Linked DNA regions of Sus scrofa. The protein of the gene in region 2 interacts with the protein of the main gene of each other region in a pairwise test. Links are inferred from orthologs where the notes say so. Each region holds a gene or a part of one and is shown on either strand. Other genes may lie near its edges. The genes, in order: CEBPE, CEBPG and ATF4.

Region 1 (4,267 bases), on a different chromosome or scaffold from region 2:
CAGCACCTTCTGCTGCGTCTCCAGAATGCGCCTCTTGGCCTTGTCCCGGCTCTTCCGCACGGCAATGTTGTTTCGCTCCCGCCGCAGCCGGTACTCCAGGCTGTCTTTGTTCACGGCCTTCTTGCCCTTGTGTGAGGGGCCAGCTGGGGAGGGCGCCTTGAGGAGGGGGCTGCAGGGGGGTGCAGCAGTGGCCAGAGGGGCCTGGAGGGGAAGGAACAGAGGGACAAGAGTGAGGGCTGCTGGGAAGCAGAGTGGAGGCAGGGTAGACATCCCAGTAGGCAGAGCACACTTGGGGCATCAGAGGGATGTGGGGTTCAGAGCCAGCTCCTAGCTCCCGGTCAGAACAGCCATCGCCCTGCCAGATGCACGAGGTCCTCTGCTCTGATCCAAACTCCCATTCGCCTCCCCACACTCTCTGAGGACACTTTCCTTCCAACTATCTTGACTTTTCAGTTCTGCCATTAGCAGACATTTCCTCTTCAAGAAGCAGGAGGCAGCACAGAAATGAGTGGTGGAGACTGATGGGTGGCAGAGAGGCTGGTGGGGGCCCTGAGGTCAGGGCAGGTCAGCTGGCCAGAGGGACTGCAGGACACATCGGTGTCAGCCACACAGTGGAGATCAGGGTGGGAGTGAATTCCCAGAGAAGCCAAGAGGGGCCACGACAGGGTGGTGAGCGCAGGGGGCTTGGGGTGGATGGGTTTCACAGAGCAACGCCACACACAGACCCCATCCACACAGACCCCAGACCCTGGATGGCGGGGAGGATAAGCGAACGGCTCTTACCTTGAGGACACGTAGGGGCTGGCTGGGTGCTGCCAGGGTCGGGGGCAGGTGCATGGCCGTCTGCCCACAGTGAGCCACTTGGTACTGCAGAGGGTTGTAGCCGCTGCGGCTGGCCCCCCGGCTGCCCTCAGGCCCCCGAGGCTCCTCCTTCACGGCCACGGCGGCTCTGGGGTCGTAGCTCCCCGGGCTGCTGTAGATGCCAGGCCCCAAGGCCTTCCTGTCGGGGCCGAAGGTATGTGGGGGGTAGGCGAAGGGCCGAGGGTCAGGCTGCAGATAGTGGGGGAAGGCAGGGGTTCCGGGGCCCTTCAGGCCTCGGGCCTCAGGTGCTGGCTTCACAGCGAAGAGGTCGGAGAGGAGCTGTTCCTCCCCAGATTCGATGTAGGCAGATAGGTCGATGGAGGCCTCATGCTCACACATGTCCCCTAGCTCCCCAGGCCCCGCTCGGGCCCCCGAGAACTCGAGTGGCTGCTGGCCAGCCCGGGGCTCACACTCGTAGTAGGTCCCGTGGGACATGGCCGGCCCGCCCCCTCAGCTCCCCGCCCCTGGCGGCCTGCTCTTGGGGCGCCCTTTGGGATGCTCGGCTTGCTATCTCCCCCTGCCCTAGATCTGCCCTAGATCTGCCCTCTCTGATCTCCTCTGTCACCCACTCCTGCGTGGCCTCTCCTCCCTCCTCTGCTGTTTCCTTTTCCTTCCTCTGTAGTCAATGCCTCTTTTCTCTTCCCTTTTTTCCCCTCTCTCCCTGGGGTGACTCAGGGAGGGGCAGGGCGCACCCCGGAGGGAGGGATGCAGGCCTTAGAGAAATGGGGGCCCTGGCCTGTTTCGCAGTAGGGGGGCACTCTGGTCAGGCTTGAGCCAGGGTTCTGAGATGCCCAGAAGCTGATGCTTCTGGGAAGAGGCCTCCCCCTCTCATTCGAGTCCGGGAGATTCTGGAATCCCCGTTGAGGGCAACCCCTCACTCTGAGTGTCCTCCTCCCTCCGACTTCCAAAAAGTCCTGTGCAGAATGAGTGCCCCGTCAGAACGAACAGAGAAAACCCTCTCCCAGTGCCGACCCCCAGCCTGATCTGAGCTCCTCCCTTGACACGCCTCCCTCTCAGTCCCCCCCACCTCCCAGGGCTGGGCTCCACCTACCCCCAGGGCCGCTCAGTTCCTTTTGTAGCCCCACCTCTCTGAGCCACTCTCCGGGGTGCAGGCCAAGGGGTGTTGTTTGAGGGGTCTAGGAAGTAGTTATCAGCCTGGGACTAAGCCTTATACGAGGCCCCGTCTCATGATGCAGAGGAGGCTCTTTTGCTAGGTTTTTGCACCGGCTCTGTGCAAGAGCCCAAGCCCTCACGTGTTTCCAGCCTGGGCCAGCGCTAGCAGCCTGGCATGGGCTGTGACTGCCCAGGCTTGGCTGAGGCACCTGCTCAGGGCTTAGGCCCTGTGCTCCAGGGCCCAGCAGGCTGCTGCCCCAGGAACTGGCAGCTACATTCCTCTCGTGGTTCCAGCGTCCGGCCTGCACTGCCAGAGCTTCAGGCTGGCGCTCTGCCCTCCTTGGGTCCTGAGGGCTCTGCCCGCTTCCTGTGCCTGGGCCGCAGGGCTCAGGCGCTCGCTGCAGCTCGGTTTGCTGTTTTTCCTTCTGCATGGCCGTTCTCTGACCTCTATGCGTGTCTCTTGGGTCCACTTCCTCTTGTGAGGGTTGAGAAGCCTTCTCTTTTGTCATCACCTCTTCCTGGGGCTCTGTTTCAGGGTCTCCAGGAGAAGCCCATGGCTCGCTCTGCACTTTTGGTCTCAGGCTGGGCCCCCTCTCTCTTCCCTTTTCTCTTTCCTCTGGGAACTCCCCACTCCCTCCTGTCAGAGGCACTTGCTGTGGCCCTGCTTTTACCTGTTGTATCTGCAAAAGGGACTCTGGGTGCGGTGCAAAGGAAAGGACATGTGGAAATATGTTACTGGATCTTTGTCACCAGCAAATTCTGTCCGTGCCCTGTGGAGGCCAGAAGGTTTAATAAGTCAGGCACACCAAGGGTCAGGCCATAAGGGGGCAAATGCGGAGCAGCTACATGTGGCACTAAATGCTAAAAAAAGTAGGCAGGAATTCCCATTGTGGCTCAGCAGGTTAAGAATCCGACTACTGGAGTTCCTGTCGTGGCGCAGTGGTTAATGAATCCGACTAGGAACCATGAGGTTGTGGGTTCGGTCCCTGCCCTTGCTCAGTGGGTTAACGATCCGGCGTTGCCATGAGCTGTGGTGTAGGTTGCAGACGTGCGTGGCTCGGATCCCACGTTGCTGTGGCTCTGGTGTAGGCCGGTGGCTACAGCTCCGATTGGACCCCTAGCCTGGGAACCTCCATATGGCGTGGGAGCGGCCCAAGAAATAGCAAAAAGACCAAAAAAAAAAAAGAATCCGACTACAGTCCATGAGAATGTGGATTCGATTCTTGGTCTCGCTCAGTGGGTTAAGGATCCAGCATTGCTGTGAACTGTGGTGTAGTTTGCAGATGTGGGTCAGATCTGGTGTCGCTGTGGCTCTGGTGTAGGCCGTCGGCTACAGCTCTGATTAGACCTCTAGCCTGGGAACCTCCATATGCTGTGGGTGTGGCCCTGAAAAACAAAAAGCAAATAAATAAAGATAACGTAGGCAGCCTGAGACAGGGCTCCCTGCAAATCAGGCAAGCTACCCCTCTACTTAGCATCCCCTCCCTCCACCTCCCCCAGGAGCTTGCTTGCTTGCTTGCTTGCTTGCTTTCTCTCTCTCTTTCTTTCTTTTTTCTTTCTTTCTTTTTTTTTTTTTTTTTTTTTTTGTCTTTTTGCCATTTCTTGGGCCACTCCCACAGCAATATGGAGGTTCCCAGGCCAGGGATCCAATCAGAGCTGTAGCCACTGGCCTATGCCACAGCCACAGCAATGCCAGATCTGAGCCGCGTCTGTGACCTACACCACAGCTCATGGCAACAATGGGTCCTTAATCCACTGAGCAAGGCCAGGGATCGAACCCTCGTCCTCATGGATATTTGTCATGTTCGTTAACCACTGAGCCACGACAGGAACTCCCCCAGGAGCTTTCTGTGTACAGTCTGAGGTACTTTCTCTGAAGGTCCCGAGCTGGCATGGGGAGATCTGCTTGCATCCAAGAGACAGAGCTCAGGTACCCAGATGGGGGAGATTTCTGCCTTCTCTCCATTTCAAAGGACCCTGTGACAAACAGGTCTCAGAGCTGAGCTGCTTCAGTTTGGCAGCAGTGTCTCATTTAACCACCAGGTGGTAATATTCGTCCAAAATTCAGGACTTGAGGGGCTGCTGCAGTCAGGAATCAGGTAGCCGGCAGAGGGCAGCTTCCCACAGCCCTGGCAAGGGCCAGACGCCTGGAAGGAGGAAGAGGAAACATGGCTGAGATGGGGCTCGCAGTGCAGTTGCAGGAAGAGCGTGCAGGCAGAGAAGACTGGGGCCAGGCCCTTGTCTTCATGAGGAGAAATGACACCCCAAATAGTGACGATAGTTAAGGCCTTGC
Region 2 (3,532 bases):
CTGACCGCCTGGCCCGGATGTCTGCCTGCTCTGGGCTGACGAGGGAGAGCGCCCAAATGAGCAGGGTGTCGCCGCAGACCTCTGGTGCTCCCCCGGTGCTGAACGGGCTAACTGTCACTCACACTCAGGCGCATGCCAGCGGCTTACAGCAGGTTCCGCAGCTGGTGCCCGCCGGCCCTGGGGGCGGAGGCAAAGCTGCGCCTCCAAGCAAGCAGAGCAAGAAGAGTTCGCCCATGGATCGCAACAGTGATGAGTACCGGCAGCGCAGAGAGAGGAACAACATGGCTGTGAAAAAGAGCCGGTTGAAAAGCAAGCAGAAAGCCCAGGATACACTGCAGAGAGTGAATCAGCTCAAGGAAGAGAATGAACGGTTGGAAGCAAAAATTAAATTGCTGACTAAGGAATTAAGTGTACTGAAGGATTTGTTTCTTGAGCATGCACACAACCTTGCAGATAACGTGCAACCCAGTAGCACTGAAAATACAACGAATTCGGATAGTGCAGGACAGTAGGCCTCCCCCCTTCCAAACTTCACAGCTTGTGGCTGGAACGGAAAAGGTGTGGCGGCCGACACCACTCACATCATCAGCTGAACCTTGTCTTGTGCCATTAGAGATGCGTTGAAGGTTGTTTTCTAGGATCATCACTGAAGAGTTGATTAGCTGGAAACGTTAGCCATGTAATTTGAATATCTGGTTTTAAATTATGAGGATTTCTTTGGGGATTAAAAAAAAACATTTTTAAAGGATAGATTAAAAAAAAATAATTCCCTGGACCTTTATGTTCTTAATTACATCCTGACTTCCCAAGGAATGTTTCTTTTTTTAAGGTCGACAAAAGGAATGGGGAACTGGCAAGTCATGCAGTAAGTTCTTGGTTTTCATCGATATGGTAAATTGGATGGAGACAAGTTGAATGCCATCTCTGTTAATCCATTTGTGACTTTTTTCTAAATTATGTATTAAAAATGCTTAGGGCTATAGAAGCCAATCACTTTGTAATGTGGAGTGATTTTATGTATAGTATAAACCTCGTTTTAGCATCATTGGTACTGCTTTCCCCAGCAAGTACAAGCTTTTGAATAGCAATGTCAGGTTAAGTAAAGAAACCCCATTGCATTTTAAAGGCAGTATGCAGCCAGTTGGCTTAAAAACTTAAATAGTATTTAGGAAGCAAATAGGTTTATAAAAAATAAAAGCAGAGCATATTAGAATTACACTTTTAGGATGCCTTTGGGTTATTGAATTGGCATTATTTTGCTAAAATAAAAAAAACCCATAACAGTTCAGTGGTTTAGAGAAACTTGTGTACCAAAATCTTAGTTTCTACAGATGCTAGTAAAGTAAGCTTTTTTTTTTTTAAAGACAAAACCATTTGGACAGCCAGGTTAGTAAACAAAATGTCATAACAGTTATGACCACACAAGCTGCTGATTAGGATTTTGAATATTAATTTCAGCAGGTAATTTCTCCTGTGTTCAGACATACTGCATCGGGGCCGCAGTTTTTAAAAGCAAAAATTTCTTGTGAAGGATCATATGGTATTTGATCTTAATGACCTGATGATTAGAAAAACACATCAACTCCATGCCATCTCCCAAAATAATAGTTTAAGAAAACTTGAAAGTATAAAGTTTAACCTTTAATTTATTTCACTTAAACACATCTTTTTATATGGTTTTTGTGACATTTCCTTTTCTAGTTAGTGGGGCTGTTCTTTGAGACTTTTGTACCACTTTTCATTTGTATGCATGTATGTCCCATAAATTATTTTAGCAAGAAAATACTGATAATAACTCAGGATACTGACATTTTTGTTGAGACTAAAAAATGGCAGTCTCTAAAGACAGGAATCTCTAGGGTCTGGCTTATATCAATGTTGTTGGTAGTTTTCATTGTCCTTGTTGGCTCTTTTAAGCACAAACCTAGCTCAAATCTGTTGGTGTCTGTCTTTTTTTCTTTTTTCTTTTTTCCTTTTTTTTTTTTGGTGAGGGTGGTGGTGGTGATAAGAGACTGAGTCCCATCTGATTAAAGTTTGTGTTGCCAGGTATCTCACTTGCACATGGTCATTTGGGGCCATGTTGTACTAGGACCCGGGACAGTGTCATCAGGATGTAACTCAAGTGGCGCCCTTGAGTTGGGAAAAGAGTGCTGTCTGTGCCCTTCCCCTGGGCGGGAGGACATCACAGACCCCTGGCACTCAGCAAAGCCATGATTAAAGGCCAGGAGCAAGGCCTTTCTGCCCGTGACAGGAATCCTGTATTGTTCCGTAAGAGCCACTGTCCCAGTAGGGTTAGCTCCCTGTCGAGCCAGGAGACAGTAGGGGTTTCTGTTAGGGTCCAACATCGGTTTACTATTGGTTGGGGTCTCAGTGTACTTGTAAGTTGACAGATGTTTTTCAGTAACTAACTAGGAGATACCACCTGAATCCTACTGAGTCTTTAATAGCCCTCATTGGAGATGCACTTAGGCCCCTGGAATCTTTAAGCACCTGTAAGGGGTGCTACAGACATTTAAATCTCTTACTTACTAAAGGATTATCTTTCAGAAATTGATGTCCCCACAGAATTTATTGTTACCAGTTAGATGAACTGACTTAGCTGTCTTGGAAGAGAAGCTTTAGGGAAATCATCAGGTGTGTACTCAGTTATTTCAAAGAAGAAAATCAGATCGTAACTTTGGGAAAAAATTGATTTAAGCTGTCTTTTTTCCTGTGCAAATCAAAGCTAGCACAAGCAGTCATGCATAGAACAGAAATGTAACCGTTGTCTTGACTACCTTACCGAAGTGTTTGGGCATGGAAGTTTTTAGTCTATCAGTATAAAATTGAGGGAAGCCAAGTACAGGGGATGGGTAAGTTTAGAGCTTTGGGAATTGTAAATGCCTTTTGTAACTTTTGTTCTGTAGGTTACCTATGAACCATTAGGAATGATCTGCCTTGGTTGGCAGGTCTCTGGTTTAGGAATTAGGTTTACTATAAATTTCTGGCTGCATCGGAGTCTTCCGGGATAGGTGCTTTCTGACTGGTCTTGGCTGCAGGTGGTGTGTGCGATCAGAGCAGCCTGTCCTGCTGTCTGGCCTCTTTTACACTGAGAGGTGAGCTCAGATAACTTTGGACATTCTTACTAAGGAGTAGTAAGATTAAAAAAAATTATCGAAGTATAGTTAATTTACAGTGAGAAGTGGGTAAGATTTTAATAACATGATCAGATTTTTGAAATTCAGATCATGAGTGTGAAATTCCCAAATTTACATAAAGATGTATGTACAATTTAATATTTGGTATTAAAGGAAGTCGTAGCAGCTTTTGATGTTTCTTAATCCCCATTAGAGGGCTTGAGACCTGAACAACCCAGTTAAAGCACTCGGAGAGTGTTTTTGATGCCTTCGAAACAGGAAAAAATTTTTGTTTGACAAAAGCTAGGAAGGAAGAAAATCCATTCTGTAGCTGTTAGATCTGCTTCTCAGGAAAAAGTACTTTTTCTTTTTGTTCCTAGCTTTCCTCAGTTTGTGAGATTACTCTATTTTTTTAA
Region 3 (4,142 bases), on a different chromosome or scaffold from region 2:
CTTTGGAAGACTTGGGTAGTGGCTCGGGGGTAGTGGCTCGGGATTCTTACTGTCTTTGCACCAAAAGACCAGATGCCTTGTACATGTTTCCAGAGAATTGAGATTCCCCAAGGGGAAAGAAAAACCATACCTAGTATCCAGTATGCTTTCCTAGACCAGCTGTTTATAGTTGTTGATTTCATCTCAGTAAATAACAGTCCTCTGAGGGAGCAGGATATGATGGGGATGGGAGGTGGGTTAGAAGACCTGCGTTCTAGTCACAGGAGTAATGGCAACCATTTATCCAGCACTTACCAGGTACCAGGCGCACGGCTCAGTGCTGTGAATATATTATCTTAACTTCATTCTAAGGATGAGGATACCCATCATTAGCCTCGTTTTACAGATCAGGAAACGAAGACTCAGTGGGGGTAAGTCACTTAACCAGAATGTCTCCACTAATAAATGGGAAAGCCAAGATTTTTTGGAATTGGCCCTTAAATCTGTCATAACTCCTACCCCATACTGCCCACACCAGGCAAGACATGTCATGCCTTTAGTCATCAGCTTACCACTGTAAAGAAATGGTTGGGCTAGACTGACTCAAATCAATGAATGGTTAGTTGTTATGTAGGAAGTGCCTGACCAATTTTTGACCTCACTGTCCTCATAGAAATAATATTTGTAGGGCCCACTGAAATGAAGGGGAGTGGAAACTCAAGGTTTCCCTACAGGGCCTGATTGGAGGACTGGAAGATGGTGAAAGAGCTTTCTCCTAGCTCTTGACAGTTCCCCAGTAGAGAGGGCAAGTTACTGGCCCTAACCTGGACTGTGGCCTCCAAACACACAAATTCCCCTAAGTGGGCAGGTCTGATCAAGCACCCAGGCAGTAGGACTTGCTGGGAAGTGGTTATGCCGCGGAGTTACAGAGTTGGTAAATAATTGAAACTACCCTAGAGTGAGAAAGAGCAGCTAAATAAAATACCTCATTTTTAGGGGAAGTGAAACTACATAAACTGAAAGAAGTTCCCCTGTCATAGGTTTCATTCTTTAACATAAAAGGAAACTTGTATTTTAGCAGAATGGATATGTAAAAATACAATTGTTTAGACCACAGGATTATGGATTTCCTCCACTCGACTCGCCTCTACAGAGTTGAGTCAGGACGCAGAGCAGGCCTTTGATGGTAGGTGGATCTCAGCTGAGGTCATCAGTCTCCCCTTCCAGTTACTGAAGGGTTCACACGTCCTCAGTATTCTGCAAGTGTGTGCAAGTGAAAACAGACGAAATAACATTTACTCTTGACTAGTTTCACATTCGGGCCTAAACCCGGTCCCTAGTTCGGAGCTTCTCCAAGGGCGGCAGGAAAGGACCACGAGGATTCGGACCTAACGCCACTATTTGGATCTGGGCCAGGGCTGCCCGGGGCAATCAAGGCCAGCTGGGTGGGCGGGGCTGAGGGAGCCTTTGCAGAGCGGCGCTACGGCGAGCAGGACGCCGGGGCCCGGCGGCGGGAACCTCACCCACCTTCCCGCGCAGATCAGGGGCTCCCTCGCTGAACAACCCGCCCGCCTCGGAGCCTGAGCCAATAGAAACTCGATGTATATATGACTCACCATGCCTAACCAATCATTTCGACGCGCGCTCTCCGCCAGTAGCTCGCGCGATAACCAGGAGACCTCGTACTTCACAATAAAAGCCCTTCTTGGGGTGAAAGACTCGTCTCCGCCTCTCGGGCTAGCACCGGAAGTAGCTGTGCAAGATCCTTCCGCGCATCCCGGCAGCGGACGGTGGTGATCCTTAGATCTCAAAAGCCTTGTAAAGTAGTGCGCCCTTTTTTGAGGCTGTAAATAAAAGTAACTCATTTGGTCCTCACAGTTTCGCCCTCGACATAAAAGTCAGAGACTGGAAATGGTAGGGGCGTCGGTTAAATGAAAGCGCGTGGGTGGGAGGCGCTGGTCACGTGACCTAGGCGGAAGAATATTCTCTGTGATGCGTCCCACAGAGGCAGAGTCTATAAAGGACCCGCGCTCGGCGAACCGCCGCCATTTCTTTTCCTCTCCGCTGTAGATGTAGTCCTTTTCTGCGAGTGGGCGCTTTTCTTCCTCCGCTCCCGCAGGGTCCGCGGCCGCCATGGCGTATTAGAGGCAGCAGTGCCTGCGGCAGCATTGGCCTTTGCAGCGGCGGCAGCAGCACCAGGCTCTGCAGCGGCACCCCCCAGCGGCTTAAGCCATGGCGTAAGTACCGGGGCCCGACGCTCTGGGCCGTGTCCCCCCGGGTCGGTGAAGGGTTCTTGTCTGATGCTGGGGCGCGGTCCGGCGGCGTCGCGGAGGGGGAAGCGGTTTTACGAGCGCCCGGGACGCGTGGCCGCTGATGGGGTGACGCCGAAGCGCCAGCGCCCCTGGGTCGAGAGGCCGCTGCGCTGTTCGGGCGTGGGGCGAAGTCCTCGGTACCTCCGGCCCCGGCCGGGGGGCCGGGGCTCCCCCTGGGGCTCCACGAAACGTGGCAGCAGCCAAGATGGCGGCGGGGCAGGGCGGCGGCCGCGGCGTGAGTCACGGGCGGGCGTGGGCGGGGCCGGACTCGGCCGGGAGGACCGGGCGCCTTCCTCTGGTGGCGGGTCGGGGAACGGCCGGGCGTCCATCTTGCGCCGCCAGGCGGACGCGGGGAAGGTTGGCAGCCGGGGCCAGCGGCCCCCAAGTCTCAACAACCACACGGGGTCGGGATTTGGCCGTCCTGCCCCGGGGGTGGAGAGGCGAAAGGCTCAGACCAGCTGTTCTCTAATGGGGCTTGGTTTCTGGTTCCTGTTAAGGCTTCTCACGGCATTCAGCAGCAGCGTTGCTGTAACCGACAAAGACACCTTCGAATTAAGCACATTCCTCGATTCCATCAAAACTCCGCAACATGGCCGAGATGAGCTTCCTGAGCAGCGAGGTGTTGGTGGGGGACTTGATGTCCCCCTTCGACCCGTCGGGTTTGGGGGCTGAAGAGAGCTTAGGGCTCTTAGACGAATATCTGGAGGTGGCCAAGCACTTCAAACCTCATGGGTTCTCCGGCGACAAAGCTAAGGCGGGCTCCTCCGAATGGCTGGCTGTGGATGGGTTGGTCAGTGCCTCAGACAACAGCAAGGGTGAGTGGGCTTTTCCCTGCCGGTGGGGTCTGGTGATAAAGCCTTGCTGCCGCGTGCATCTGACTCTGGGTTCCGTCCCTCTTAAATCTCTTGCAGAGGATGCTTTCTCCGGGACAGACTGGATGGTGGAGAAAATGGATCTGAAGGAGTTCGACTTCGATGCCCTGTTGGGTATAGATGACCTGGAAACCATGCCAGATGAGCTTTTGGCCACGTTGGATGACACATGTGATCTCTTTGACCCCCCACTCCAGGAGCCCCCGCAGATAGTGAACCCAATTGGCCATCTCCCAGAAAGTTTACCAACAACTGACCAGGTTGCCCCCTTTACGTTCTTGCAAACTCTTCCCCTTTCCCCAGGGGCCCTGTCTTCCACTCCAGATAATTCCTTTAGTTTAGAGATACAGGGTGAAGTGGAAATCTCGGAAGGAGATAGGAAGCCAGACTCCACTACTTACATTACCTTGATTCCTCAATGCATAAAGGAAGAGGATGCCCCCTCAGATAATGACAGTGGCATCTGTATGAGCCCTGACTCCTATCTGGGCTCTCCCCAGCACAGTCCCTCCACCTCCAGGGCCTCTCCAAGTAGGAGCTTGCTCTCTCCCGGGGCCCCTTGTGGTTCTGTCCGGCCCAAACCCTATGATCCTCCTGGAGAGAAGGTGGTAGCAGCAAAAGTAAAGGGTGAGAAACTAGATAAGAAGCTGAAGAAGATGGAGCAGAACAAGACAGCAGCCACTCGGTACCGCCAGAAGAAGAGGGCAGAGCAGGAGGCCCTCACTGGCGAATGTAAAGAGCTGGAAAAGAAGAACGAAGCTCTGAAAGAGAAGGCAGATTCCTTGGCCAAGGAGATTCAGTATCTCAAAGATCTGATAGAAGAGGTCCGCAAGGCACGGGGAAGAAACGCGCCCCCTAGCTGCCGGGCAGGGGTGTGCATGTGCTTGTACATAGGCTAGGGCTTTAGCTGTGTGTTGCAATAAATTATTTTGTAGTGAACGTACTGCTGATGACTGATTTCTTCAGATAAATGTTCCAG

What was found.
Region 1: the proteins of CEBPG (region 2) and CEBPE interact in a two-hybrid assay, tested with the Homo sapiens proteins (2 studies listed by BioGRID and IntAct, with this or other methods). The link is inferred for Sus scrofa from reciprocal best matches to the Homo sapiens genes CEBPG and CEBPE.
Region 3: the proteins of CEBPG (region 2) and ATF4 interact in binary tests that used the Homo sapiens proteins (3 or more experiments, as listed by UniProt). The link is inferred for Sus scrofa from reciprocal best matches to the Homo sapiens genes CEBPG and ATF4.

What each region holds. Positions count from the first base shown.
Region 1 is NC_010449.5:75,925,200-75,929,466, reverse strand, and holds the start of CEBPE (CCAAT/enhancer-binding protein epsilon), read right to left. Parts: upstream 2,816-4,267; 5' UTR 1,297-2,815; coding exon 784-1,296; intron 202-783; coding exon 1-201. UniProt on the Homo sapiens protein: Transcriptional activator. C/EBP are DNA-binding proteins that recognize two different motifs: the CCAAT homology common to many promoters and the enhanced core homology common to many enhancers.
Region 2 is NC_010448.4:43,171,413-43,174,944, forward strand, and holds part of CEBPG (CCAAT/enhancer-binding protein gamma), read left to right. Parts: 5' UTR 1-17; coding exon 18-512; 3' UTR 513-3,532. UniProt on the Homo sapiens protein: Transcription factor that binds to the promoter and the enhancer regions of target genes. Binds to the enhancer element PRE-I (positive regulatory element-I) of the IL-4 gene. Binds to the promoter and the enhancer of the immunoglobulin heavy chain.
Region 3 is NC_010447.5:8,742,928-8,747,069, reverse strand, and holds ATF4 (cyclic AMP-dependent transcription factor ATF-4), read left to right. Parts: upstream 1-1,317; 5' UTR 1,318-2,216; intron 2,217-2,788; 5' UTR 2,789-2,880; coding exon 2,881-3,106; intron 3,107-3,202; coding exon 3,203-4,062; 3' UTR 4,063-4,106; downstream 4,107-4,142. UniProt on the Homo sapiens protein: Transcription factor that binds the cAMP response element (CRE) (consensus: 5'-GTGACGT[AC][AG]-3') and displays two biological functions, as regulator of metabolic and redox processes under normal cellular conditions, and as master transcription factor during integrated stress response (ISR).